Linked DNA regions of Macaca mulatta. The protein of the gene in region 2 interacts with the protein of the main gene of each other region in a biochemical or structural test. Links are inferred from orthologs where the notes say so. Each region holds a gene or a part of one and is shown on either strand. Other genes may lie near its edges.

Region 1 (4,064 bases), on a different chromosome or scaffold from region 2:
CTGGGGACAGAGCAAGACTCCGTCTCAAAAAAAAAAAAAAAACACGACAAGGTGTCGCTCTGCTACCCAAGTGTCGTGGTGTAATCATAGCTTGCCATAGCGGTGACCTCCTGGGCTCAGGTGATCCTCCCACATCAGCCTCCCAAGTAGCTGGGACTATAGGCACAAGTCACCATACCCAGCTAATTTCTTATTTTTTTGTAGAGATAGGGTCTCACTATGTTGCCTTGGTTAGTCTTGAACTCCCAGGCTCAAGAGATCTTCCTGCCTTGGCCTCCGGAAGTGCTAGAATTATAAGCATGAGCCACTATGCCTGGCCTGTATATTTTTTTAAGGCCTGTTTCTGTCAACTGCAATGTCACCTCCAGGGGAGAGTGTTGGTTCAGTGGTTTTCTTTCTCAAACAAGAGACATGACTCCAAGGGACTTGTCCTTCCAGCTACAGGGGTCAGGGATTCAGAAGTGATTAGGGACCCATCCATATCCCTTGGAGCTCTTATCTGTGCTAGAGTAGAGGTACAAATAGATCATTTCAAGACAAAGAGAGTTTACTTGCAGAGCTGAGTCAGAGCAAGAAGTAAGCAACTCTGCCCTGTGTCCAGAAAGGAGTAACACTGTAGCGGCTACTTCATAGCCCGCCTCCTGTTCCCTCATGCTGGGCCTCCTAGCCTGCAGGGAGCTCACCTGTGGATGCAGCGGTCCGGGCAGAGCTCAGCCTCATAGAAGCCATCCCGGCAGTCCTTTCCTACAAGCTCGTGGGGGTGAGGCCGGTGAGGAGGGTCCTTGGTGACTAGGGAGATGCGTACTGTCCCTGGTCCTGTGTAGCCATTGATCTGTCCAAAGTACAGAGGCCCAGACATCCAAACCTGACTCCCAAACACAGAGGGCTGGGGTTCCACAGTCCCTTCCCCGCACACCCTGGTGCAGTGCTGACCTTGATGGTGGGGTGGGTCTTGGTGGTATCTGTGCTCCTCTCGCCTGGGATGCTGCCCGCGGAGCGCCCCTCGCACTTGTAGCGGAAGCGCATGCCCCGCTGCTTGGGCTGCTCAATGATCTCCACATAAGGGCCAGAGGCCTGGGCTGGCTCTGCCAGGGGACACCGCAGGCCCATTAGACAGCTGCCCCCGCTGCCCTACCCCAGGGAACACCTCCCGGACTGCTGCGGGGGCCACTTACCTGCCGGGAAGATGAGGGGGAACAGTTCTGAAAGGGGAGGGAGATCAGGGTCAGCACACACCCACTGCCCATCCTCACAAGGGAGTATCTGCTCTCCACAGAGAAGAGAAGCCAGGCTCCCTCCCAGGGGAACTGAGTAAGGACCTGCTTCCTAGAACCTGCGGTGAAACTAAGGAGTGGAGGAAAGGAACCAGAAACACCTGCTTCTTGAGGGAAAACGGGGTAAGGAATCCTTCTCCCGAGGGAAGCCGAATCAGGGCCTGTTGTACTTTCATAAGGAAAACTGAGGGAGGGCACGCCCCACCTCCATCCAGAGAGGAAACTGAATCAGATGCGTTCTCCCCTAATAGGGAAACGAAGCCAGAGCTGCCCCCATGGACGGTGTGGAGGGAAACTGAGTCAAGGCTCCCTCTGCTCCCCCACCCAGGGAGGATGCTGAGTCAAGGGCCCCCCTCCACCCAGAGGGGAAACTGAGTCAGACCCCTCCCCGCCTGCCCCGCCCCGCGCCACCATCCGGCAGGCCGACCGCTCCCTGCGCAGCGCCAGTCGGCGCAGGAAGGGGCGGAAAGCGGCGCGGGGCCTCCCGCCACAGCCGGGGCGGTCCCGGCGCGGCCACCCCGCGGGGTCAGAGGGCGACCTCACCGTCCATGGCCGGGGTCCCGGGGGCGGGGCCGGGGTCGCAGCTGGGCCCGCGGCGTGCACTACAGCCGAGCCATTCGCCAGAGGCGGAAATGCGCCGCGCGCGCCCGCCGTCGCGTCACTGCCCGGAATCCGGCCGCGCCTGCGCGCTGCCCCGCCGCCGCCCGGCGAAGGGGCCGGGAGCAAGTGCGCGCCGCGCGGAGGACGAAGAGGCCGCGCGCACAGCCGCTGCCGGGGGCCGGGGCCAAGTGCGCGCGTCGCCGGAGACGAAGAGGCTGGTGTGCCCGGTGGTTCGGCTAGCTCCCGGGTCCCGGCCCCGCCTGGAGGGCGGGTCCGCCGATTACTCACTTTGTTTTTAGGGGATTTCAGGGCCCCCTCCCACCGATCGGCGGAGTTTGGTGATGTCACTCTGGGCCGGGTCTGGAGCAAAGCCCGGGCTACGGGGCTGCGGCCGCCCGCCCCGCGCAGGGAAAGGCCCAGTCGGGCCTTCTGCTCCGCAGAGGCCGGGTGGTTGAACTCCACGCCGGTTTCCTCATCGCTAAAGGTGCCTTTCGGTGGTGACTGTCTCAGAAGCACGTTAAAATGTCCAACCTACCCCACTCTAGATGCGGCTGTAGGGGAAGGGGAGCGGCCGGACCTCCCCCTCTGACAGTGCATCAGGGAGCTTTGCGGAGCCTGCAGCCCGGATGGGACAACTTGAGGCCCTCCCGCTGGCGAGCTGGCCGAGAGCTCGTCCCTCTCCAGCTAAAGCGCCAGCTTACTATGCAGCCAAACTGCCGGCCCTCAGCGGCTGCAGGAGCAGGGGGTCCCCAGGGGTAAACCCCGGAGCTTCGTCTCTGAAGCCTGGCGCTTGTATCTCAGAAGGTCCGGAACCCACAGGGGACACTCGAATCAGCAGGGCCACAACCCCCAACCCCACTGCCCCCGCCTGTGTTTGCCCTGGACCTCCAGCTAGGGCTGACCACTAATTCTGTCATGTGACCCCACAGTGCGGGTAGCTCCCCCAAGACCAAGCCCAAGGCGCGTCCTTGTGGGGGCTGGGGCTGGCGCAGCCCCACCTCAGGCCTCATCCCCGAAGGAGGATGCTCCAGGGGGCGGAGTCTTCTCCAGATGGAGAAAGACTTATTTTCTCTGAATTCGTCTTGAATTAGGAAATCATGTGGGAATTGGAAAAGACTGGAAATTCTGACTTGTTTCCCAGGCTCTGAAGAAACAGGAAGAGAAAAGTGAAAATAGAGTTAGCACCCCGCCCACTCATTTCAGTTTCTCCAGTGGCTGGCCCTGATTAGAAAAGTGTTTACTTTTGGCAGGGGGCGGGGAAGGCCGACTTCAGTTGAGCGAATGGATGACATACAATTATCATTAAACCTTGCATGGATCCTCTTCTTAAAATTCATGTATATTTATAACTTTTAAATTAATACCATAAACACCCGTGTACCCATTGCAAAACTTAAGGGACCACCACCGTGCAGAATTCTGCGTTGTATTGTATTGTATTGTATGTATTTATTTTTTGAGACAGGCTCGCGCTCTGTCGCCCAGGCTGGAGTGTAGTGGCACAGTCTTGGCTCACTGCAGCCTCTACCACCTAGGATCAAGCAATCCTCCCACTTCAGCCTCCTGCATAGCTGGGACTATGGGAGCACACCACCATGCCTGGCTAAGTTTTTGTATTTTTTTGTAGAGAAGTGGTTTAACCTTGTTGTCTAGGCTGTCCTTGAACTCCTGAGCTCAACTTTCCTTCCACCTTGGCCTCACAAAGTGCTGGGATTACAGGAATGAGTCACCACGCTGGGCCAGAATTCTGTATTTTCTTAAATTAATTAATTAATTATAACTAGAGATGGGTCTTGCTGTGTTGCCCAGGCTGGTCTCAAACTCCTGGGCTCAAGCGATACTCACACCTCAGCCTCCCAAAGTGGAATTACAGGCATGAGCCACCACGCCTGGGCCAGAATTCTGTATTAAAAAAAAAAAAATTACTCATATCTGCATGCCTACACAATATATTGTTTGGTTTTCCTTAGTTTTGAACTTTTTTTTTTTGAGATGAAGTCTCGCTCTGTCGTCCAGGCTGGAGTGCAGTGGCATTCAGCTCACTGCAACCTCCACCTCCCGGGTTCAAGTGATTCTCCTCCCTCAGCCTCCCAAGTAGCTGGGATTTAAAGGGGCCAACCACCACTCCTGGCTAATTTTTGTATTTTTTTAGTAGAGACGGGGTTCTACCATGTTGGCCAGGCTGGTCTC
Region 2 (3,500 bases):
CGGCCGCGCTCGTTCCACAGTGGCTGCGAGGCGCAGACCCCGGCGGACCCGCACGCCACTCCGGGGCATTCTCCCCGGGTGGGACAGGCTCGCCACTGGGCTGGCGGGAGATTATTTTTAAGCACTCGTGCTTCCATATGGCTTGTTTTAAACTCGCGGGACACCTACAAATTTCCGGCTGTCAGAAGTCACATGCCAGCAATCCGCTCCAGCGCGGACTCAGCCAGCTAACTCCGAAATCAGACCCATTCAACTCCCAATCGCTCTCTAAAGCCCCAGGACGTGGGGTGGGGAGGAGGGGAAAGAGGGTGACAGGAATCGCTTCCCAGAAAGTCATCATCATAGCCGACATATTTCCAATCAAATAGTCTAGATGAAAGGAAATTTGGGGAGCACATTAAACAAAAACATTGAAAGGATAAATAAAATTCTGCCGAGCTCCGCTAACTCCAAACACCCCCAACTTTAAATGCCAAGAGCGGGACCTTCTCGAGTGACTCAAAGCGCTTCGTGTTTATTTGCCTGGAGGTGTTTCCTCCCGCAAATAACTGCTGCTTTGTCTGGTTTTCCAACGTGTGTTTAGTTAGGAAGCCCCGGGCTTTCGGGTCTGCCTGTCGCACGGACCCTAAGTGGGTGGAGAGCACGTTTTTCTCAGCTGCCCGGCGAGAGAACTTGACTCTGAACGCAACGCGGGCTGCACGCAGAACCCCCGGGCTGGGCCGCGCGCACCGAGCTCCCTGCGCGCACCCTCGGGTCGCGCGTCCCGCGGCTCCCGCTGCTCCCTCGGCTCCCCCTTCTCCCTCCCTCCCTTCCTCCCTTCCTCCCTCTCGCCGGGCGCGGCGGCCACCCCGACGGGCGGCGCGGGCGCGGGTACCTGTAGAATGCCGGAGGGCCGGCCTCGCGCACCGTGTAGCCGCTGGGCTCGTTCTCCAGGTAGTAGGGCACCTGCTGGCCGTGGGGCTGCAGGAAAGGCGACAGCTGCGGCGGCGGGTGCAGCAGCATCAGCGGGCTCGGAGACACGCTGTTGAGTGGGGGGAAACCCCCCAGGCCGTTGGAGCCGAACGCCGCAGCCTCAGACCCGGGGCCGTACGGGAGGCCAGTCTGGCCGTAGACCTGCGCGTTGGCGGCGGCCGCGGCGTTGAACTCGTAGGCGGCGCCCTCGGGGTAGTTGTACACGGCGGGCTTGCTGCTGTCCACGTACACCTCGCCCAGGGGCCGCTCCAGGGGGATCTTGAGCTGCGGACGGTTCAGGGGCTCCAGCTCGTTCCCTTGGATCTGATGCAGTAGGGCCATCCCGGATGCTTTGGTGTGGAGGGTCATGGTCATGGTCCGTGGCCGTGGGCAGGGCGCAGACCGTGTCCCCGCAGGGCAGAAGGCTCAGAAGCCGGCGGGCCACCTGGAAAAAGAGCACAGCCCGAGGTTAGAGGCGACGCAGCGCATGTCCCGCCGAGACGCGAGCTCTGGCCCCGGCCCTGACCCGGGAGCCTGCGGGTCCGGTGAAGCCTGGCGACCCGACGGGAGCAAGTGCAGTCCCGGGACGAACGCCCTCCGCCAGCTCCCGGGCTCCCGGGCCTCCAACTTTAAGTACTGGTCTCCCGAGCTCATATGCATTACAAAGGTGCTGGAGGAAGGCCAGGGACTGTTGCCTTGCCCTGACATTGGCTTAAACATCACTCCAGGCACAACTCGATTTGGAGCGATCCCAAAGAGCAGCTTCCCTGAACTTTACTTTACTTGTCGTCGCTGCTGGATAGAGGCTGAGTTTCACGGCCAGGGGGCGGGGGCGCACGAGGATCTGCTAAAGGTGGCCCAGGGAAGAACCGGCTTAAAATAAACGCGAAAGACGAATCCAGGGGCCGGCTTTCTCTAATGTGCTGCCTTATGTGCCCCGTGCCAGACTCCAATATATCTCTGTTTATCTCTCTTTCTGTTTGATTCCCCCTCCTCGTTGGCTAGAAATACGTAGTGTGTACATAGGATGACCCTGGGGAGGACTACACTGTAACCGAGATAGGGCAGATAGAATGGGGTGTGTGGTTGCATACGCAGCCAGCCACAGACAGCTATATTTAGCAGCTGGGGGAACTGACAGGGGGCATCTGAGGGGAAGGGGGGCGGAGATTCAGGGTATACATATAGGAAGAGCTGCATTTTGCCATCAGGAGAATGCAAACTGCCAGGACCTCAGTTTCTTCCTCTGCAAAATGCTCCCAAAGTGGACCCCTTCCACAACCTTCTGAGATTCTCTCAGCTGGACTTGTGTGTTTATGTTGGACCACAGTACTGTACTTGGTCCCATTAGGAATTCTCATGTGAAGGATGATTCAGAAAAACCTTTGGTTAGGGCGCACATGGGTGTTCATGCCTTCCACAGGTTAGTTATGCAACCAAAACTTCAGAAAACTGAATATAAAATGTGACCTTTTCATACCCAACATAACCTCAGGTCATAAACCAAAGCTTTGGCAATTATGTGACATTGTCGGTCTGGTTCAGCTAACAGATTTTTAAAATGCATTTCTGCATGTCTATTCTTTAGTCCTACAACTCGATCTTCTCGGTTCACTTGGGCTAGGATATGCAGAATCAAATATCCAGATGAAAAACAAATAGAAAAAAGTTTTTAACTGAATTAAAAGTTAAGCATGCACACACACATACGCACACACACACACATACATATACATATTAAGGACACAAAAAATACGGAAAGTATGTCATGCATCTATAATCTTGGAGAGTTTATACTTTTTAATAAACTTCCTTTGCTGCAGCCTAATAGACTCTGGTACAACTATCAATACTTTATTTTAATTGCTATCCCAAACACCCAACAGAGTACCTGACAAAGTGTTCATGGTATATCTAAATGCCAAGCTTACTGTTACTAATAGTTACATTTTTGAATATTTTATATCAAGTATACATTTTATCTAATTCCTACAAAAACAGACCATTGTCGGACAATATACAGATTAGCTGATTTAATATGAAGCCAAAATCGAGTTTAGCATTAATGACTATAGATTGTCAGCAACTAAAGGGTTAAAAACACATTAGGTACATCACAGATATTTCCCTTTATGGCCAGCAATCATTACTTTCCAAAGCAATTTTTCACAGATGATTTAGTTTCCATAAATCACACTTTCAATTTTCAAATGCCTTTTTAAAACACACGCAAAAAGCACTTCATAGGGCTCTTAAAAAATCTGAACCTGCCAAATTATATGCAAATGGCACAAAGAATCCTACAAGTCATGAAAGAAAAAGGAGACACACACGTACCCCCATGGAGAACAGCAATCCTCATCTCCCTGCTAGGATACAGACACTAGCCAGAAAGGTAAGTTGCTTTCTCAAAATGCTAAAGCTACAGAGAGAGAAATCAAAACAAGCCTACCCTGCTGGATCAAGAACGTCTTTCCAGAAATGTTCCATGGGCTTGTAGAAGTCAAGGGCCGAGACAGTGAGAAGGAAGGAAGGAATGTGCTCGCATG
Region 3 (3,500 bases), on a different chromosome or scaffold from region 2:
GGAGCATCACAATCATATTCAACTTCTGGTTTAGATAAGTCTCGGCAGAAAGTACAAATCCACTCTCCACTGTAGGGGGACAATGTACTTTTGAATTTCTAATGCATCATTTCCTCTCTTCACTATTTCCCTTTCCCACCTCCTCCATGACATCTATGATACAGAATTGTTTATTTGGCATGAATTTTATCACTCAGCATTTACCACATACCACTAGGTATACTGTACCATGCTGAGAGGAAACAGCAGAAATATAATGCAAGGGCCTAACATCAAAATCTAGTTAAGAAGGTGTGAGATACATATATGAAAAAACAACAACAAAAAAAACCACCTAGACAAATTAACACATTAATCTAGGGCTCACATATCTAGGGCATAATTGAATTTTTTTCCTCCAAAGGATTCAGAAATCAGAAAAGCTCTTTGTACTGTTCTTGTTACTCTAAGTTTATAAAATTAAATTTTCAAAAGTATAGCCTTCCAAGAACTGAGAGATCAACCCAATGGCTCTTAACCATCTTGGTCAGGATGATGATCATCATCCCCATAGGGTTTGAGAATTTACTTGAAATACTTGTAAATGATACAGTTTGATGCCTGGAAAAAAGACATAATAAACTGGTAGCTGTTATGCCTAAGGACATTGTTCCTTATGGTGACACCTTGTGATAATTTAAAGGGCCTATTATTTATTTTCTTTTTATAATGACTAGGGAGAGGGTCTTGCTCTGTTGCCCAGTCTGGAGTGCAGTGGTGCAATCACAGCTTACTGCAGCCTTGACCTCTCAGGCTCAACCAATCCTCCCACCTTAGCCACCTGAGTGGCTGGGACTATAGGCATGCACTACCACACCTGGCTAATTTTTTAATTTGTAGAGACAGGGTCTCCCTGTGTTGCTCAGGCTGAATGATTAATTTCTTGAAAGAAGCACAAGGAATAAGCGGAAAGGTATGGGAAAACCTAGACTATTCACTGGGATTTTGGAGTATACATTTGTGCCAAGTAGAATTTCATTTAAGTAATCTTCAAAAGTTTAGAGTAAAAGAATGTGGGAAGGGAAGTACTATCTTACCTTGGAAAATTTGTCAATGTAGGCACGTGACAAGAAAGATGGAATACTTTGGGGCACTTTTCACAGCAGAGGAGTTCCCCTCCGTTTTGACAAACTGCACACCAGTCCTCATTGGGGTCATCCTCTTTCCTTGTCTCTCCAACATGAAGGGGTGACTTCTGGGAAGGATCCAGCCACTCAGACTTTCCATTTGAGGAATTCTCCTGGTGAAGTCCAGGTTGATCTCCTGTACTATCAGGGGCATCTGATCTTAGCACAGTCTCCTCAGAAGTAGAGCTCTGACTGCTATTTAAGAGCAGGGAGGTGAGTATGCTTCTTGGATAATTGGCCTGTAGTAGAAAAAATATATATTTAACTGGTGTTTAAAAAATTTTATCACTAATGCAATTCTGAGCTGTAGGACCACTCTCTAGTGAGCACCTGGCTGCTTCAAAGGAATCTTCATGAGAACAGTATATGTTTACTGCTAACTGGTATAGAAGACATGGACCTCTACTGAAAAATATCAAAATAGAGAAAACAAATCTGAGTCTGGGGATGGCTACAGAAATTCGAGAATGGGTTGGGTAGTGTGGAAGTCAGTCACATGACCTATATATACACCTCACTGGAGCTGTTCATTCAAATTATACCTAAGATACACAAATTGTAAGATGAATCTAAACTTTCTGTTGAAGCCCAGGATGGTAAAAATTTCAAATCTATAACAAGAACAGTCTCCTTCAAATGTTTTCAAAAACTTCAAGGTAATAAACGTAGATATAGTTAAAAGCACTCATTCCTTAGAAGTACTATTTTCAAACCTAGCTTTTTCTTCTGCCATCTACCTCCATATTTCTAAATAAAATGACTGTTAAAGATTGCAATACATCTATAATCCTTGCTAGTGAAGATCAGGAGATTAGGTTTTTACATCCTGACTCTCCAACCCTGTCCTTCCATTCAGACACACAAAACCACCATTCACCTCATCCCTTTAACTTAGTTTTTATTAAGCATTGCTTTTTTTAGTTGGTAGGTACCGGTGTAACTATTTATTGCCAGTATCTATTCCAACTGACTAGTATTTGTCTGTACTGGTTAAGTATTCTGAAAATCACAATTTTTGGTTAAATGCATACATATTTAGTTTATATCCTGATTGCGTCACAGTTTTTCGTTACATTTGTACTCAGGTGTTTCTTTATATCATTATTATGTAAATATTGTTCACTGTAGACCCACAAAATGTACTATGACATTTCTTTTTGTACAACTTTTTGTTTTTACTAAGACTCTGTAATTACCTTATTTTTTCAGGTACCTATTTCTATGTGATTCTCACAATCTCCAGCAGGAGATTCTCAATACTGTTGAAGCATTTTTCTCCCTTTGGAGTCCTATGTCTTCCTGCTAGAGACTACTGCACAAGCTGCTGCTGCTGTACTGTGGGTTGCCTTTTTCTTCTGTGTCAGATTCCATTTTTGGAATCCTGTATCTTCTTCTTTCTTGTTTTACTATATTTTTGATGATACATATTATCAAATATCTTCCTGAGAATAAGTACTTAAGAATTATTTTGAGAACTTGCACAAAAATGTTTAATCTTCATGTCTGATAATTTGCCTGGGTATAAAACTCTGGTTAGAGAATATCTCTTTTTAGCTGCCCAGTCTCCATATTTGAGCCTCTGATTTTTTAAAACTTTCCTGTTTTTCCATCTTTGACTTTTTGTTTAATTTACTGAGAGATTCCCTCAAATTGTCTTTAAATCCCTTTAAATATAACATTAAAGAAAAAACTCCTAAGAGCTATTTAAGAGTTTCTCTCACCCTACCCACCATGCATAGGAATAATATTGCAAGTATTCATAATTACATTTTGAGGCCTAGATTCTTCATCTGACTCTTGCTTCACTATAACAACAGGGAAATCATAATTTTCTGGTGGTCCACTGTTTTCTTGTTTTATTCGAATTGGCTCCAACATGACCACTGGGACTTTGTGTGTAGAGTCAGCTCCTGCTGGTTTGCTGGAAGAGCCAGAGCTGTAAGTATGAGAGAGAAGAAAAAGCAATCTAAGAATGTGAAGCTGAATACCTCATAAAAAGTATAACAACAACTTTCTAAAATAATACTGTATCCTCACAACAGTAAGTATGTTACATCGGCAATTAATGATGCCTAACGAAACTGCTATATGCAAGTTTCATTTATGATAAAAATGTTTTACATATTAACCTATCTAAATAGTTATATATCTGGAAAGATGTTTCAATAAACCGAAACTTTTAAAAACCTGAGGCTTTACAATTAGGCAACCAGATTTAGTATCTTAGAACTGGCATCTGATTTTAGACTTTCTCATTTCCTTCTCCAGTCAGTAGCAAAGTAATACTTTGGTGAAGACAATGAAATAATCATTTATTTAAACAATGCTATTTAA
Region 4 (3,984 bases), on a different chromosome or scaffold from region 2:
AGGGTAGCTGGGACTACAGGCACATGCCACCATGCCCGGCTAATTTTTGTATTTTTAGTAGAGACAGGATTTTGCCATGTTGGCCAGGCTGGTCTTGAACTCCTGACCTCAAATGATCCCCCTTCCTCGGCCTCCCAAAGTGCTGGGATTACAGGCATGAGCCACCATGCCCAGCTGGCAACTATCTTTTATTATAACTCTGTGAGTTCTTCTCAGCAGAACTGGACTTTCAGGAGTGGTAGGAATCAGGCAGGGAAAGGCCGGGCGCGGTGGCTCAAGCCTGTAATCCCAGCACTTTGGGAGGCCGAGACGGGCGGATCACGAGGTCAGGAGATCGAGACCATCCTGGCTAACACGGTGAAACCCCGTCTCTACTAAAAAAAAGTACAAAAACTAGCCGGGCGAGGTGGCGGGCGCCTGTAGTCCCAGCTACTCGGGAGGCTGAGGCAGGAGAATGGCGTAAACCCGGGAGGTGGAGCTTGCAGTGAGCTGAGATCCGGCCACTGCACTCCAGCCTGGGCGACAGAGCAGACTCCGTCTCAAAAAAAAAAAAAAAAAAAAAAAGGAATCAGGCAGGGGATAGGGATTCTGAAGGACCTTATTCCTGCAGGGGGCCCAGAACTGAAACCAGAGGAAGGGGGCCTCCGAGACTGGACAGCGGGCAAAGTCCTCCCAGCCCCCCCAGGGTCCTGGCTCCCTTCCCTGTAGCCTGCTCCTGGCCGACAACAGAAGCAGGGCCCCAAGGTTAGGCAAACAAGCTAGTGATAAGGCACTTCCAGGTCGGGCCTTGCATTCAAGGCCCACCCAGCTCTGGGGCTGACTTCCTGGCTTAGCGAAAGCGCTAGTCTTTTGTGCACACAAGAGCAGGCACCAATGGGGACACCTGCTGATTGTGCACCTGGGGCCTTGGTGCCCTGGTACAACCTGGGTTAATGACCTTGTTTATCCACTTGAGTCATCCGATAAGGGGCAGCTGAGTGAGCGGCAGGTGGCCCTGTGCCCTGCACCGGCCACTTCATTGACTGAAGTGATATCAGTGCCACGTGGGGTTCCCAATGCCCCCTCCCCCACCACTTCCCCACCATTCCTGCCAGGGGCAGTGTCTGTGTGTTTTTTTCAATGAACATGACTTCTGGAGTCAAGGTTGTCGGGCCATTCCCCCCCTTCCACTCACTGGGAATATAAATAGCACCCACGGCGCAGAACAGAGGGCCAGAGAGCTGGAAGTAAGGGCAGATCCCAACCATGAGCACCAGCCAACCAGGGGCCTGCCCATGCCAGGGAGCTGCAAGCCGCCCAGCCATTCTCTACGCACTTCTGAGCTCCAGCCTCAGGGCTGTCCCCCGACCCCGTAGCCGCTGCCTATGTAGGCAGCACCGGCCCGTCCAGCTATGTGCACCTCATCGCACCTGCCGGGAGGCCTTGGATGTTCTGGCCAAGACAGTGGCCTTCCTCAGGAACCTGCCATCCTTCTGGCAGCTGCCTCCCCAGGACCAGCGGCGGCTGCTGCAGGGTTGCTGGGGCCCCCTCTTCCTGCTTGGGTTGGCCCAAGATGCTGTGACCTTTGAAGTGGCTGAGGCCCCGGTGCCCAGCATACTCAAGAAGATTCTACTGGAGGAGCCCAGCAGCAGTGGAGGCAGTGGCCAGCCGCCAGACAGACCCCAGCCCTCCCTGGCTGCAGTGCAGTGGCTTCAGTGCTGTCTGGAGTCCTTCTGGGGCCTGGAGCTGAGCCCCAAGGAATATGCCTGCCTGAAAGGGACCATCCTCTTCAACCCTGGTGAGCTCCCAGACACTCCTGGGTAGGGGGCAAGGCTGAAGCAGGAGCCAGCCAGGGAAGGTAACTTCTAAGGGTTTGATATCTGTAATCTCATGGGGTCCACATTTTCTTTTTTTTTTTTTTTCTGAGACAGAGTCTCACTCTGTCACCTACTCTGGAGCGCAATGGCGCGATCTTGGCTCACTGCAACCTCTGCCTCCTGGGTTCAAGCAATTTTCCCTGCCTCAGCCTCCCAAGTAGCTGGGATTACAGGTGCCCGCCACCACTCCCGGCTAATTTTTGTATTTTTTAGTAGAGACGGGGTTTCGCCATGTTGGTCAAGCTGGTCTTGAACTCCTGATCCCTCTGGTGATCCACCCACCTTGGCCTCCCAAAGTGCTGGATTACAGGCGTGAGCCACTGTGCTTGGCCGGTTCCTCATTTTCATCAAATAGCCATCTCACAGAAGAGGTACAGAGAAGCTAAGTGACGAGCTAAAGGTAACACAGCCAGGTAGGGACAGACCAGGATGGCAACTCAGGTCTATTCACTCCAGAGACTGGCCCTTGCCACTCTGCCTGAGAAATTTGCTCTGACCTTTAGAGAAGGCTGCGGGGGAGGTGGGGTGGGCAGACACAGCTGTGTCTCAGTCACATCTTCAAAGGAAGGCTGCATGGTGAAGCTCTAGAGCTGAAACTCCTCTGTGGGTTCAGAAAGATCACTTAGAAGAGAGAACTGAAAGGGGTGTAGGGAGGACAGGAAGGGAGTCTTTGTGGAATTTGGCCAGGAGAGTGGCAGATGAGACAGTGCTCTTTGTAATCTGGAGAGCATCTGAGATGAGCGTTCCCCAGGAGTCCCTGTGGCACGCATAAATCGTAGTAGTTAATTGCAATAATAGTAGCAAATACTCATATCACACTTACCATATGTTAGGCCCTATTCTAAGGGTTTTACATATACTAGTTCATTTAAATCTCATAAAAACCTAGGAGACAGGTCCTATTAATATTATTATCCTCGTTTTACAAATAAAGAAACTGAAGCCCAGAGATTAAGTTACTTGCCCAAGGTCACCCAGCTAAGTGACAGTACTGGGATTCATACTCAGGAAACCTGATTCTTAACCATTACTCCATACTGCCTCTTCATAAATGGATGGATGAATACAATGGAAATTGATAAATAAATTACCTCCTCCAAAGGAGGAGGTAGTAGTGGGACCTCAAAGGCCGAGCAAAGGAGGCAGAGGGGTGTCTCTGATGGCCCAGATCTTGGGCCAGTCTCTTCCTTTGGTGGCTGGGAGTAGGATGCTCACCAACCCTCTTCTCCCTCTCTGCCCACAGATGTGCCAGGCCTCCAAGCCGCCTCCCACATTGGGCACCTGCAGCAGGAGGCTCACTGGGCGCTGTGTGAAGTCCTGGAGCCCTGGTGCCCAGCAGCCCAAGGCCGCCTGGCCCGTGTCCTCCTCACAGCCTCCACCCTCAAGTCCATTCCGACCAGCCTGCTTGGGGACCTCTTTTTTCGCCCTATCATTGGAGATGTTGACATCGCTGGCCTTCTTGGGGACATGCTCTTGCTGAGGTGACCAGCTGCAGCCCAGGCAGAGATCAGGTGGGCAGAGGCTGGCAGTGCTGATTCAGCCTGGCCATCCCCAGAGGTGACCCAATGCTCCCGGAGGGGGCAAGGCTGTATAGACAGCACTTGGCTCCTTAGGAACAGCCCTTCACTCAGCCACACCCCACATTGGACTTCCTTGGTTTGGACACAGTGCTCCAGCTGCCTGGAAGGCTCTTGGTGGTCCCCACAGCCTCTGGGCCAAGACTCCTGTCCCTTGTTGGGATGGGAATGAAAGCTTAAGCTGCTCATTGGACCAGAAGTCCTACTGACTTTATACAGAACTGAATTAAGTTATTGATTTTTGTAATAAAAGGTATGAAACACTTGGAGCCTGATACTGTTGTTTGTGCATATAGAAGGGACTGTCTCACCTCCAGGGCCCACCCTGCTCCTATCAGAGGTAGCCCAAGGGAAAAAATCCACAGGGTTGCTGGAACTAATTTTCCAGGGAACAGTATCAGTTCACAATCCCATCACCTCATTGCCTTTATCCTCAGGGGAAGGAGGTTGCTCTCCTGTTCCCAAACCCTTCACTAACCACTCTCCTGGCTCCTACCCACTTCATGCGCCCTCTCACCACAGTTAAAGCCCAATCACAGCCAATCAGGAAG
Region 5 (4,116 bases), on a different chromosome or scaffold from region 2:
GGGTCCCCTTAACCATGATGCCCCCACCTGGCTTGGGCAGGTGCCTGACAAGCCCTTCTGCTCTCCCGTCAGAGAGAGGATGGCTGCCAAAGGGCCAAGTCCCTGCCCGCCGCCTTCCCCCTTCATCCCCGCACAGGCCTGACACTACACCCACTGCTGCTCTTCCCTGGCCCGCCTCCCACCTTTCCCCCGCCACTGGGGCACTGTTATCAGGAGGCATTCCAGGACTGGCTGAGAACAGCTTCCACCCTGGGCCCTTCTGAGCGGATGTGATCACTGATAGGATGCCCTGCTGGGGCCTCCTTTAAGGAATGGGCTCTGGGGTACGAGACGGTGGAACCCAGATAGTCTGGGTTTGCCTCCCAGTGCTGTGTCTTATGAGCTGTGTGACATCAGGCAAGCAGCTCCACCTCTCTGTGCTTCAGTTTCCTCATCTGCAAATCAGGGCCCGCCACAGAGGGCTGGGGTGGTTCACTGAGTTCCTAAGCATGGTGCGCGCCACCCAGCAACACCGTGATGGTGACGCTGTAGCTGTTGTTATCCTCTGAGGATCAACCATCCCTCCTCCTTGTGGGGCCCCTGGTTTATTTGGCCTCTGTGTCCACCCCCTGATGAGGGCATGGCCGGAGGACCCCTCTGGACTTTCTCTTCTCCAGGTCTAGAGGACAAGGAGAGGGTGAAGCTGAGAGAGGCTATGTTCAGAAATTGGGAACCTGCTGTGTGATCTTGGATGGCCCCTCTCCCTTTCTGAGCCTCCATTTCCCGGCCTGCTCTATGAGCCTGTGGACCTGGCCCCTCGTTATCCCTGTCACGATACTTTCTGTAGTTCCTCCCTCGGCCAGCCCAGCTACATGGCTTTTGACTGTCTTTCCCACTATGGCATCAGTAGGTGCTCAGCTAAGCCTTGTTGGAGGAGCCTGGCAGTGCACCATTGAGTGACTGTCCAGGGCTTTCCCACTCCTGGCCTTTTGCTTGTGTGGCCCCCTTTGCCAAGAATGTGGCCCCCATTCATCTCTACTTGTGGAAATCCTTCTTGTCCTCGAAGCCCTTCGCAAATGCTGCCTCCCCCAGGAAGCCTTTCCCAGTTTCTCCCAGCCAGAGGGGATGCTGGTCCTTGGAACACTTGCTCTGAGGCTCTCTGGTGGTCCCTGTTACAGTGCACTGCAGTGTCCATAGTTACAGATGAATGGCAAACAGGGACTGTGCACTTACTAGGAGCCAGGCAGCGGGGGGGGGGCCCTGAGCTTGTGCTGTCTTATTTCATCTTCCACACCAGCCTTGCAAGGTGGATATTAATCCTATTATCCCTCCCTTTACAGAACAGAGAACAGAGGCTCAGAGAAGTGAAGCAACTTGGCCAGCTATGAGAGACAGAGCCAGGATTTGAAACCAGGTAAGTTTGTGTTTTTTCTTTAAAAAGGAAAGAAAAAACATCACACACACACACACACACACACACACACACACATACACACACACACGACAGGGAAAAGTAAGTCTCTCTCACACCCAGGTCTCCTTGCCAGAGTCAACCACTTGAAAAAATTTCTGGTGTATCCTTCCAGGGAGATCCAGGCATATATAAGCATGTATATTAACAATTTTTTTAGCATAATGTGAATTTCAATAATGATGGGAATGCCAGGTGTTGATATTTTTAGCTTCCGCACTTGACTCAATATTACACATTTGCAAAGAATTTTGTTTTTTTCTTAGGGTCTTACTCTGTTGCCCAGGCTGTAGTGCAGTGTCACAATCATGCTTACTGAGGCCTCGAACTCCTGGGCTCAAACGATCCTCCCACCTCAGCGTCCCAAGGAGCTGGGACTGCAGGGAAATGCACCACACCCAGCTAATTATTTATTTTTTTGTAGAAGCAGAGTCTCACTATGTTGCCTAGGCTGGTCTTGAATGTCTGGGCTCAAGCAGTCCTCCTGTCTTAGCCTCCCAAAGTACTGGGATTATAGGTGTGAGCCATCACCCCCAGCCGGAAATTTTTTTCTCTTTTTTAGATAAATGATAGCACACAGTCTACCCTGTCCTCAACTGACTTTTTTCTCTTGACAGTGTACCTCAGAGGTCATTTATTTGTGCTGCATTTTTCTTGTTCATGGTTGCGTAGTATTCCACTGCATGTACGGTGGTCACACTGTACTTAACTAAGGACAGATATTTTGGTTGTTTCCAGTCTTTTGCTTGTTCTAGGCAATTCCACAAATGAATATCCTCAATCATATGCCTTGTGTTTGTGTGTTCTTTTAGGATTAATTCCACACTGCAGGGTCAGTGGGTGTGTAATTGTGATAGGTATTGCCAAATTGTCCTTCAGAGAGATTGCGCTGGTGTCCCCACACCCTCTGTTCTCCTCACTCTCACCAGCATAGGATGTTACCAAATTTGGGGATAAATTGCATAAGTGCAATTTGCCGAGCTGATAGGTGAACAGTGGCCCCCAGTGTAGTTTATTTGAAAAATGTGTATCACAGCTTTACTGAGATAAAATTCACATAGCATACAATTTATCTATTTAAAGTATACAATTCGGTGGTTTTTAGTAGAGTCACAGAGTTGTACAATCGTCACCACAGTCAAATTTAGAACATTTTCATTACCCTACAAAGAAACTTTACCCATTACAGTTACTCCCCACTTCCCCCTAAACTTCCCTCCCCTAGACCTAGGCGGCAACTAATCTAGTTTCTGTTTCTATAGATTTGCCTATTCTGGGCATTTAATAGAAATGAAATCATTCAAGTGTACTCTTTTGCGGCTGACTTCTTTCACTTAGCATAATGTTTTCAAGATTCACTCATGTTGTAGCATGGATCAATATTTCATTCTTTTTTTCTTGCCAAATAATATTCTATCATATGGATATACCATATTTTATTTATCCATTCATCAGTTGATGGACATTTGGGCTTTCTGGCTATTACGGGTAATACTGTTCTGGACATTCATGTGCAAGTTTTTGTGTAGACATATGTTTTTCATTTCTCTTGAGTGTGTACCTACGAGTAGAATTGCTAGATCATATGGTAATTCCATGTTTAACTTTCTGAGGAACTGCCAGATTGTTTTGCAAAGCAGCTGCACCATTTTACATTCCCATCAGCAATGTCTGAGGGTTCCAGTTTCTCCACATCCTTGCCAACATTTGTCTTTTAGATTCTAGTCATCCGTCCTAGTGTCTGTGAAGTGGCATCTCATGGTGGTTCTGATTTTTTTTTTTTTTGGACAGGGTCTCAGTCTGTTGCCGAGGCTCACTGCAGCCTCAAACTCTTGGGCTCTAACAATCCTCTCATCTCAGCCTCCTGAGCAGCTGGGACCAAAAGTGTGTGCCACCACACCTGGCTCAGGCCCTTTTTTTTTTTTTTTTAGTTTGTAGAGATAGGGTCTCACCGTGTTGCCCAGGCTAGTCTTGAACTCCTGGGCTCAAATGATCCTCGCACCTCGGCCTCCCAAAGTGCTGGGTTTACAGGCATGTGCCACTGTACTCAGCCGTTTTGATTTTTATTTCCCTAATTACTAGTGACATTAAGCATCTTTTCATGTGCTTATTGGCCACTTGTATATCTTCTTTGGAGGAATGTCTATTCAAGTTCTTTGCCTACTTTTATTATTAATGTAATCTATTTTTTTTTTGTCTTAGCAACAAGGTCTCACTATGTTGCCCAGGCTAGTCTAGAAGTCCTGGCCTCAAGTGATCCCCCTGCCTCAGCCTTCCAAGTAGCTAGGACTATAAGCGTGTGCCACCATGCCTGGCTTAATTTTTTTTTAATTTTGTAGAGATAGGATCTTACTCTGCCACTCAGGCTGGAGTGCAATGGTGTGATCATAGCTGACTGTAACCTCAAATTCCTGGGCTCAAGCAATCCTCCCATCTCAGCCTCCTGAGTAGATAGGACCACAGGCATGCAACACCACGCCCGGCTAATTTTTTTTTTTAATTTTTAGTAGGGGTCTCACTATGTTTCCGAGGCTGGTCTCAAGCTCCTGGCCTCAAGAGATCCTCCTGTCTTGGCTTCCAAAGCACTGGGATTACATGCATGAGCCACTGTAAGAGATATTTATATATTGTAGATACAAGTATATGATTTACAAATATTTTCTCCT
Region 6 (3,688 bases), on a different chromosome or scaffold from region 2:
CCAACTACACTTACTAAAAGCATCTGCCCTGACTCGGGCTCAGCAGGACCAAGACCTGAACCCCTCCTCCTACAGTCACAGGCCTGCCTATCTAGTCCCCAAACACAGGGCAGGGGTCACAGACCTCCCAGCCCTTCCAAACCCAAGCCTGACACTCGGGACCAGTCAGAGGTCCCGGAATCTCTTCTCAAGCAGGGTTCCCAGCCACCGGTCCCGGCGCCCAGGAGCTCTGAGTTAGCCTGAAAGCCTGACCCATTACTCTTCTCCCCTTTCCCCCAGGGCTGGAACCCCATCTCCAAGCAGACCCTGTGGGTGGGGGGAGGGTGTAGCAGAGGAGGCAGAAAAACCAGCTGCAACACCCCCACCAACCACCAAAACCTCCAAAAATAACAGCAGCCCCCCACACACAACCCACTACACACCAGAAACGCAAAAACAAAATCCTACAAATCCAAAATAAAGCAAAAAAAAACAAAAGCCAATTACTGCCCCCAAAAGGCTTTGTAACCATTCTCAAAAAAAAGTTTATTAAAAGTGTTCTTACTTAATGCTTGAAACGGAAGATTCCCAAAATATACAGACGCCTCTTTTCTCATAGAAATAGATTATTTTTTATAATACAAAAAAAAAGACCAAAAAACAAAACAAAACAAAACATCAACAGCAACAAGCCCGTAGGAACATCTTTAAGCGATTACTCAGGGCCCGGCTGACAGTTACACGTGGGTTGCGTCAGTCCCGTGTACACACGCGTTCAGCCATGTTTAAACCGATTGCATCAACTTCGAAACCGGCCCGCCCGCCGGCGCCTGGAGAGGGGCAGAGGGAGAGGCAGAGAGTTTATCATTCATCTGTACACATAGACGTTTCTTCTTTAAATAACACCACGGGCGGGCGCCCCATCTGCATGTGCGGTTGGTTTGGACAAAAATATAGATATATATATATAATAAAATATTAAAATTACCGACGGGCTCCCCGCGCTGCCAAGTGCCCCAGTGCCAAAGTTTTGCCGGCGCCGCCGGGGGCGGAGGCGGGGGCGCGGGCGCGGGCGCTTCCCGGAGTCTCGGCCCCGGCCGGCAGGGGGACGCGCGCGGGGGCCGCGCTAGCAGTGGCCGGAGGAGGCGAGCAGGGGCTCGGGCAGCTGCTTGAACAAGTTCCGCAGGGTGCTGAGCTCGCGCGACAGCTGCTCCACCTTCTTCTGCAGCCGCTCGTTCTCGGCCGTGAGCTCCAGGACCTTGTGCTGCGTCTCCAGGTTGCGCATCTTGGCCTTGTCGCGGCTCTTGCGCACGGCGATGTTGTTGCGCTCGCGCCGGATCTTGTACTCGTCGCTGTGCTTGTCCACTGTCTTCTTGGCCTTGCTCTTGACCTGCGAGGGCGGCGGCGCGGCCCCCGCGTAGCAGGCGGCCGGGGGCGCCTTGGCGTCGGCGGGGCTCGGCGTGCCGGGCGGGCTGGACGACGAGGACGTGGAGAGGCTCCCGCTGCTGCCGCTCGGCACCGCCTGGTAGCCGAGGTAAGCGCGCAGCGCGTACGGGAAGCCCGCCGCCATGCCTGCGCCGCCGCCCGGCGCCCCGGCCTCCTCCTTCCGCTTGCAGTCCGCGGGCTCGAAGCCCGGCTCCGCCTTGAGCTCGGCGGGCGGCGGCGGCGGCGGGGGTGGCGGGTGCAGGGGCGCGAAGCAGCCGGGGTGCAGCGCGCCCTTGGCGGCCCCCAGGCGCCCCAGGCTCACGTAGCCGTACTCGGCCGGCTTCTTGCAGTTCTTGCCCCCGTAGTCGTCGGAGAAGAGGTCGGAGAGGAAGTCGTGGTGCTGCCCGGAGGAGGCGGGCGCGGGGGCGGGCGCGGGCGGAGCCGCCTCGAAGGTGTCCGTGGCCGTGGCGGGCGCCGGGGCCTGCGGCGCGCCCAGCGGCTCCAGGTACGGGCTGAAGTCGATGGCGCGCTCGTGGTCGCCGATGCTGCCCAGCTCGCCGGCTGGGGGGCGCGGCCCGGGTCTGGCCGCGGGGGGCGCCGCGGGGGCCGCCTTGCCGCCGTACGCAGCAGCCAAGCAGTCCGCCTCGTAGTAGAAGTTGGCCACTTCCATGGATTTAAAGGCAGGCGGCGGCGGCAGGGGGAGACATGCTGGGTCCCAGGCCACCAGGCGTTGCATGAACGCGGGTGCCCGGGGAGGGGGCCTGGGGCTGCCCGCTCCGGCCGGCCCGCAGGTGGCGCGGCCTCCCTGCTCTGAGCTGTCGCCGCTGCGTCGCTGCTGCTGCCGCCGCTGCCGGGGTGGCCGCTATTAGTGCGGGGGCTGGTGGCTGAACCCTCGGGTGGGTCCCCTTCCCAGTCCCGTGCGCGGCTCTGACTCGCTAAAGTTTCTCCTGAGCCCGGTTATTTATAAGGGCGGCCCGTAGCAACCGCTGCGTCACACCGGCCCCTCCCGCCGCGCCGCCGGGACGCGAAGGACACGGCCGCGGCCGCCCGAGACCCCCAGGAGGACGGCGGCAGGGCGCAGCGGAGGGACCGGGCACCCGGAGCGCGTTTTCGGGGGGGGTCCCCGGGCCGCAGGGGGCGGCCTCACGCCCCCTGCCCACCCCCGCCCGGCCGCCCCGGGATTGGGAGCGAGAGGGGGCGGTGCGACCCCGCCCCCAGACCGCCCCTCTGGGCTGGAGGCTGTCCTGGAAGGCGGGGGAATCGGAGGAGGGGGCGACCTGATCGCCTTCCCCCGGAGATGCGGCCCCGGCCCGCCCCCTGCTGGAGGAGGCGGAGGTTTCAGGAGGACCGAGCAGAGCCCCGACGGCGGACCAGGGGCCGCTCCCCGGGCGGAACCCTGGAGACCCCAGCCCGCAACTCTAGCTCCAGGAGAAGCGACCCATCTCCGTAGCCCTTCCCCCTAAACTCCCACCTCTTCCACAGGTCCCCGGCTCTAGAAAGGAGTAGACTCCACGCCTGTGACGATTCCCCTCTTAAGCCACCGCCAATATGAGGACCCCGGGGGTCGGGGGGACGGAGCAGGATCGCGCTGCGCTGGGGGCTGGACCCTGGTCCACGGTGTCCCGCCCCTAGCCCCGCCCACCGCACCTGCCGCCTGCTTGCGGCTTGTACACACCCGGGTCTTCTCTTGCCCCGCGCCGCGCCATCCGACCTGGGCCCTGCCACACTGTGCGACCTTGGATGAGTCACTTCTCCCAGCTGCAGTCCATGAAGGGTGTCGCTACTGTCAGCGGTGGTGGCATTGCTCCCACCAGACTCCCAAACCTAAGGCTTACGTTGTGGGCTGCACATCAGAGAGAAAGGGACCCCCATGGATTGTGCCAGTGGAGGCCCAGAGGGAGCATGGCATGGCATACCAAGGTCACATGGCCGCATGTCCCCCATTCATCCCAAACGAAATGCCCTCATCTGGGCCCTAAGACCTATTGCCAGCCCCAGAGGCCAAAAAGCTTCTGTTTCTGAAGCTGCTGGGGAGGGGCTTAAGCCAGGCCTCACGGGAGGGGGGTGGCATGCAGGAAACAGAGAAGGAAAGAGAAAGAGAAGTTTTTACCAAGTCCCTGCCCTGTGCTCAGGGTGGGCCTGGACCCCGAGGTTCTTTTTCACCCCACCAGGAAGATGCTTTTGCTGCTGCCGTTTCACAGATGGGAAAGTGACAACGGCCTGCCTGGACTTGAACACAGACCCAAGGCCCTCTAACTACCGGCCCGCCTCTGCTCCCTAGGCT
Region 7 (3,500 bases), on a different chromosome or scaffold from region 2:
GTCTCAAACTCCTGACCCCAAGTGATCTGCCCGCCAAGGCCTCCCAAAGTGCTGGGATGAAAGGTATAAGCCACCGCGCCTGCCCAAATCTGCAATTTTTCAATTTAATCTCTAAGTTTTAAAGCTCAAACTGTTTGAAAAAGATTCTTTAAATATATGTAAAATTTATGTGTTACACTAAATAATATACTAAATAAAGAGAAGGACTGTGTCCCCTTGTCATACCCCTCTACGTACCTTCAGACCTCAGGATACAACATGAAACATAATGGTCAAAGTCAGAGCTAAATAAAATCTTTACACTCCTGCTACGTTAGGTCCTATCACAGGAATGCAAAACAGGATAAGAAAGTCCCTAATGAAAAACAGATTACACTCTACTTGTGGAGAAAACAGTAAGAGATAAAGCAAAAGAGAGTAATAGAAATGACCCAGAAATAATATAATACTACAGTACAGCTCTAATGATTCTGCCTAAATCAAATCTCTACTTACTGGAGTTGCAGGCTGTGGAGCAAGCAGCGGTGCTGTTGGGGTAGGAACAGACGCTGCTGTGCTCTGCTGTGAGCGAGGCTGCTGCTGGGGCTGGTCAGCAGAAGGTGCAGCAGGAAGTGAAGGCTGTACTTGTTGGGGAAGTTGTGTTGTTGGTGGTGTAGGTGTCTGCCTTGGAGGGGGATGTAGAGCCTGGGACTGTGGTCCAGGTGGCATGGCAGGAGGTGTAGGAACAGGGGCTGGAATTGTTGTTGCTGGTGGCTGCTGAGCCCCTATGCTTGGGGGAGTATGGTGAGGGGTCGGGGTACGACTAGGTACAGGCGAGGGTGAATTCTGATGCAAAGCTGGTTGAGGAAGCTGGGGACAGTGAATGTGGCTCCCCTGAGACCCCGGAGGCATTATAGGAGAGTTCACCGGGCAGGAAGAACTAGACATTTGTGCCTGTTAAAATAAAAAACATAAGATAGCAATTCAAAACAGAATTAAAGAAATACTTACATGGCACGTTATATGAATTTAGGACACAAACTGGTTAAACAAAGAGTAGCAATGTGTCTATTTCAAAATGTGTAAAATACCCTGTTACTGGGGATATAGCTTTGGACAGCACCATTGATACAGTATTTAAGTAAACCGACTTCAAACCACTCAGCCGAATGGCCTCAGCCACTGCAGAAAAACGACAGAATTGAGAGCACAGTGCTCTAGGGCCTGCCTATGCTCTCTTCAGCCAGAATTCCTTCTACATTGTGTTTAATTCTAAGATTTATTTAAAAGTGTTCACTACTAAAAACAAAACCATCCATTTATATTATTTCCTAATTTGTAACAATTAACACCATTGCTATGTCACAGAATAATCTCTTAAGGTTCAGAACACCCTAAGTCTAAAACTGTTATTTTTTAAAAAAATCATCTGTTTTCACCCACTATCTGCTGCCACTCTTTCCTATAAAAACCTACGTCAAGAGAAATTTCAAGAATCAAAAAAAAGTAAAAAATCCACTTATGAGACATACTTGAGACACTGGAGCTTGACCACTGGACGGAGCCAAAGGCATATTTGTTACATTCATTCCCTGTGATGGGAACTGAGTCTGAGGAAGGAACTGGCTCTGGTTGGAAGGCTGTTGCATACGAGGCCCATAGCCCATAGGCTGCAAAAAAACACAGATCACCAAACTGCTTCATTACAGTTATTCTACTATAACTAAAATCATCAAAAGGTCCTAATGTCAGGTTTATTAAGCAAAGTCAAAGACAGGAGTATAGGTGAAGAGGGCTGGAGAGGAGAAGGAAGAAAGTTATAGAACAACTGACTCTTGTGCAGAAAAAGGGAAATAGCCTCACAGTTTACCTAGGTCTACTCTCAAGAAATAGTAAGAGGATGGAACAAACACACATTCTCTTGGTACACAAATATGTCTAGCACAAGGATAGCAGGTAACTTTCTTTGCATGCTCTGTTAAGTGAGGAGAGTTAATCACAATTTCATAAGCTCATGTCAGTGATGTAGTAATAACACAAATTCTAAGACCCATAATATGTAAAAACAAGTAAAATCTTACAAGTTGTGGCAGAATCTGGTAGCATTCATGGTCCACAAATGCTCTAGCAATGCTATATTTCATTTCTAAAATTACCCTACACAAATTCAGGCCTTAAAGAAAGAAATCTCCAAAGGCAAAAAACTTCATAAGACAAGAAGGGGCCCCAAAGGGGCCAAGATTCAGAGGCACCAGCTAACTCTAAAGGGCAGCAGGAGGGTCGGGGTCAAGGTAGAGAGATGAAGTGGTTAAGAGTTCACATAAGGAGCAGAAGCCTAGCCTCTCTTCTCCGAGCTCAAGAACCAGGCAAATGCACCATCAACCTTGCAAAAAGACAGTTCTCTGCCTGGAGAAGGGAAGACAGACATCAGGGAAGAGAGGTGACCATGAAAACGCATGCAGGCCACTAAACATGGACACTCCAGGGACAAGGGCCTGGCTGTTTTCGTTTTTTGGTCAGCTTTCTAGTAGAATTAAATACAGAAGAATTACAGAAGAACTAGGAGTTATGGTCTGTTTAAATAACTGTGAGCATTTATAAATTAGGAACAAACAGGATTTTCAAAATACCAGATAAAGGCCAAAATGATTACTAAAGACGTCAAACTAACCAGGTTGAGCGCTCCAGGCTGAGCCAACTGTCCATGGTGTTGAAGAGGAGCGGTTTGCCGGGGTACGATAGGGGGCTGGGCCATGCTCATCTGGCCAAATTGATTCAAACCTGTGAATATGTGCAAAATATTAGATCTGAACGCCTTTCTGAAACTGAAGAATAAAAGACAGAATTCTTATGTCTGATTCTACATCTTTTTTTGAAACAGAGTCTTGCTCTGTTGCCCAGGCTGGAGTGCAGTGGTGTCATCTCGGCTCACTGAACGCCTCCCGGGTTCACGCCATTCTTCTGCCTCAGCCTCCCGAGTAGCTGGGACTACAAGAGCCCACCACCACGCCTGGCTAATTTTTTATATTTTTAGTAGAGACAGGGTTTCATCGTGTTAGCCAGGATGGTCTCGATCTCCTGACCTCGTGATCCGCCCGCTTAGGCCTCCCAAAGTGCTGGGATACAGGTGTGAGCCACCGTGCCCGGCCCTGATTCTGTATTTTATCAGGACTAATAAACTGGCTTTCAACCTTGTAAGTATAAATAAATATGTCTCACAGCAGTTGTAAACAGACATTATTAACAGGATCTTCAAACCGAATTTTACAAATTTTACAATCTGCTTTTTTTTTTTTTTTGAGACGGAGTCTCGCTGTCACCCAGGCTGGGGTGCAGCAGCAAGATCTCGCTTCACTGCAAACTCCACCTTCTGGGTTTAAGTGATTCTCCAGCCTCAGCCTCCCGAGTAGATGGGATTACAGGCCTGTGCCACCACACTTGGCTAATTTTTGTATTTTTACTAGAAGGCAGGGTTTCGACACATTGGCCAGGATGGTCTCATACTTGACCTCAGGTGGTAC

What was found.
Region 1: the proteins of ESR1 (region 2) and RELA form a complex in vitro, tested with the Homo sapiens proteins (3 studies listed by BioGRID and IntAct). The link is inferred for Macaca mulatta from reciprocal best matches to the Homo sapiens genes ESR1 and RELA.
Region 3: the proteins of ESR1 (region 2) and TRIM24 form a complex in vitro, tested with the Homo sapiens proteins (4 studies listed by BioGRID). The link is inferred for Macaca mulatta from reciprocal best matches to the Homo sapiens genes ESR1 and TRIM24.
Region 4: the proteins of ESR1 (region 2) and NR0B2 form a complex in vitro, tested with the Homo sapiens proteins (2 studies listed by BioGRID). The link is inferred for Macaca mulatta from reciprocal best matches to the Homo sapiens genes ESR1 and NR0B2.
Region 5: the proteins of ESR1 (region 2) and SRC form a complex in vitro, tested with the Homo sapiens proteins (3 studies listed by BioGRID). The link is inferred for Macaca mulatta from reciprocal best matches to the Homo sapiens genes ESR1 and SRC.
Region 6: the proteins of ESR1 (region 2) and CEBPB form a complex in vitro, tested with the Homo sapiens proteins (2 studies listed by BioGRID and IntAct). The link is inferred for Macaca mulatta from reciprocal best matches to the Homo sapiens genes ESR1 and CEBPB.
Region 7: the proteins of ESR1 (region 2) and EP300 form a complex in vitro, tested with the Homo sapiens proteins (10 studies listed by BioGRID, with this or other methods). The link is inferred for Macaca mulatta from reciprocal best matches to the Homo sapiens genes ESR1 and EP300.

Annotation. Positions count from the first base shown.
Region 1 is NC_133419.1:8,727,016-8,731,079, reverse strand, and holds the start of RELA (transcription factor p65), read right to left. Parts: upstream 2,801-4,064; 5' UTR 2,472-2,800; coding exon 2,410-2,471; exon of another isoform or gene 2,163-2,409; intron 1,938-2,162; exon of another isoform or gene 1,825-1,937; coding exon of another isoform or gene 1,818-1,824; exon of another isoform or gene 1,792-1,817; intron 1,345-1,791; exon of another isoform or gene 1,203-1,344; coding exon of another isoform or gene 1,176-1,202; intron 1,118-1,175; coding exon 934-1,117; intron 866-933; coding exon of another isoform or gene 833-865; coding exon 684-832; intron 1-683. UniProt on the Homo sapiens protein: NF-kappa-B is a pleiotropic transcription factor present in almost all cell types and is the endpoint of a series of signal transduction events that are initiated by a vast array of stimuli related to many biological processes such as inflammation, immunity, differentiation, cell growth, tumorigenesis and apoptosis.
Region 2 is NC_133409.1:70,539,329-70,542,828, reverse strand, and holds part of ESR1 (estrogen receptor), read right to left. Parts: exon of another isoform or gene 3,404-3,500; intron 1,397-3,403; 5' UTR 1,327-1,396; coding exon 875-1,326; intron 1-874.
Region 3 is NC_133408.1:178,414,171-178,417,670, reverse strand, and holds part of TRIM24 (transcription intermediary factor 1-alpha), read right to left. Parts: intron 3,103-3,500; coding exon 2,934-3,102; intron 1,406-2,933; coding exon 1,077-1,405; intron 70-1,076; coding exon 1-69. UniProt on the Homo sapiens protein: Transcriptional coactivator that interacts with numerous nuclear receptors and coactivators and modulates the transcription of target genes.
Region 4 is NC_133406.1:214,067,984-214,071,967, forward strand, and holds NR0B2 (nuclear receptor subfamily 0 group B member 2), read left to right. Parts: upstream 1-1,184; 5' UTR 1,185-1,245; coding exon 1,246-1,777; intron 1,778-3,099; coding exon 3,100-3,341; 3' UTR 3,342-3,697; downstream 3,698-3,984. UniProt on the Homo sapiens protein: Transcriptional regulator that acts as a negative regulator of receptor-dependent signaling pathways. Specifically inhibits transactivation of the nuclear receptor with which it interacts.
Region 5 is NC_133415.1:90,224,013-90,228,128, forward strand, and holds the start of SRC (proto-oncogene tyrosine-protein kinase Src), read left to right. Parts: upstream 1-1,316; 5' UTR 1,317-1,393; intron 1,394-4,116. UniProt on the Homo sapiens protein: Non-receptor protein tyrosine kinase which is activated following engagement of many different classes of cellular receptors including immune response receptors, integrins and other adhesion receptors, receptor protein tyrosine kinases, G protein-coupled receptors as well as cytokine receptors.
Region 6 is NC_133415.1:103,041,750-103,045,437, reverse strand, and holds CEBPB (CCAAT/enhancer-binding protein beta), read right to left. Parts: upstream 2,342-3,688; 5' UTR 2,141-2,341; coding exon 1,106-2,140; 3' UTR 501-1,105; downstream 1-500. UniProt on the Homo sapiens protein: Important transcription factor regulating the expression of genes involved in immune and inflammatory responses. Also plays a significant role in adipogenesis, as well as in the gluconeogenic pathway, liver regeneration, and hematopoiesis.
Region 7 is NC_133415.1:10,366,240-10,369,739, forward strand, and holds part of EP300 (histone acetyltransferase p300), read right to left. Parts: intron 2,761-3,500; coding exon 2,651-2,760; intron 1,650-2,650; coding exon 1,512-1,649; intron 934-1,511; coding exon 496-933; intron 1-495. UniProt on the Homo sapiens protein: Functions as a histone acetyltransferase and regulates transcription via chromatin remodeling. Acetylates all four core histones in nucleosomes. Histone acetylation gives an epigenetic tag for transcriptional activation.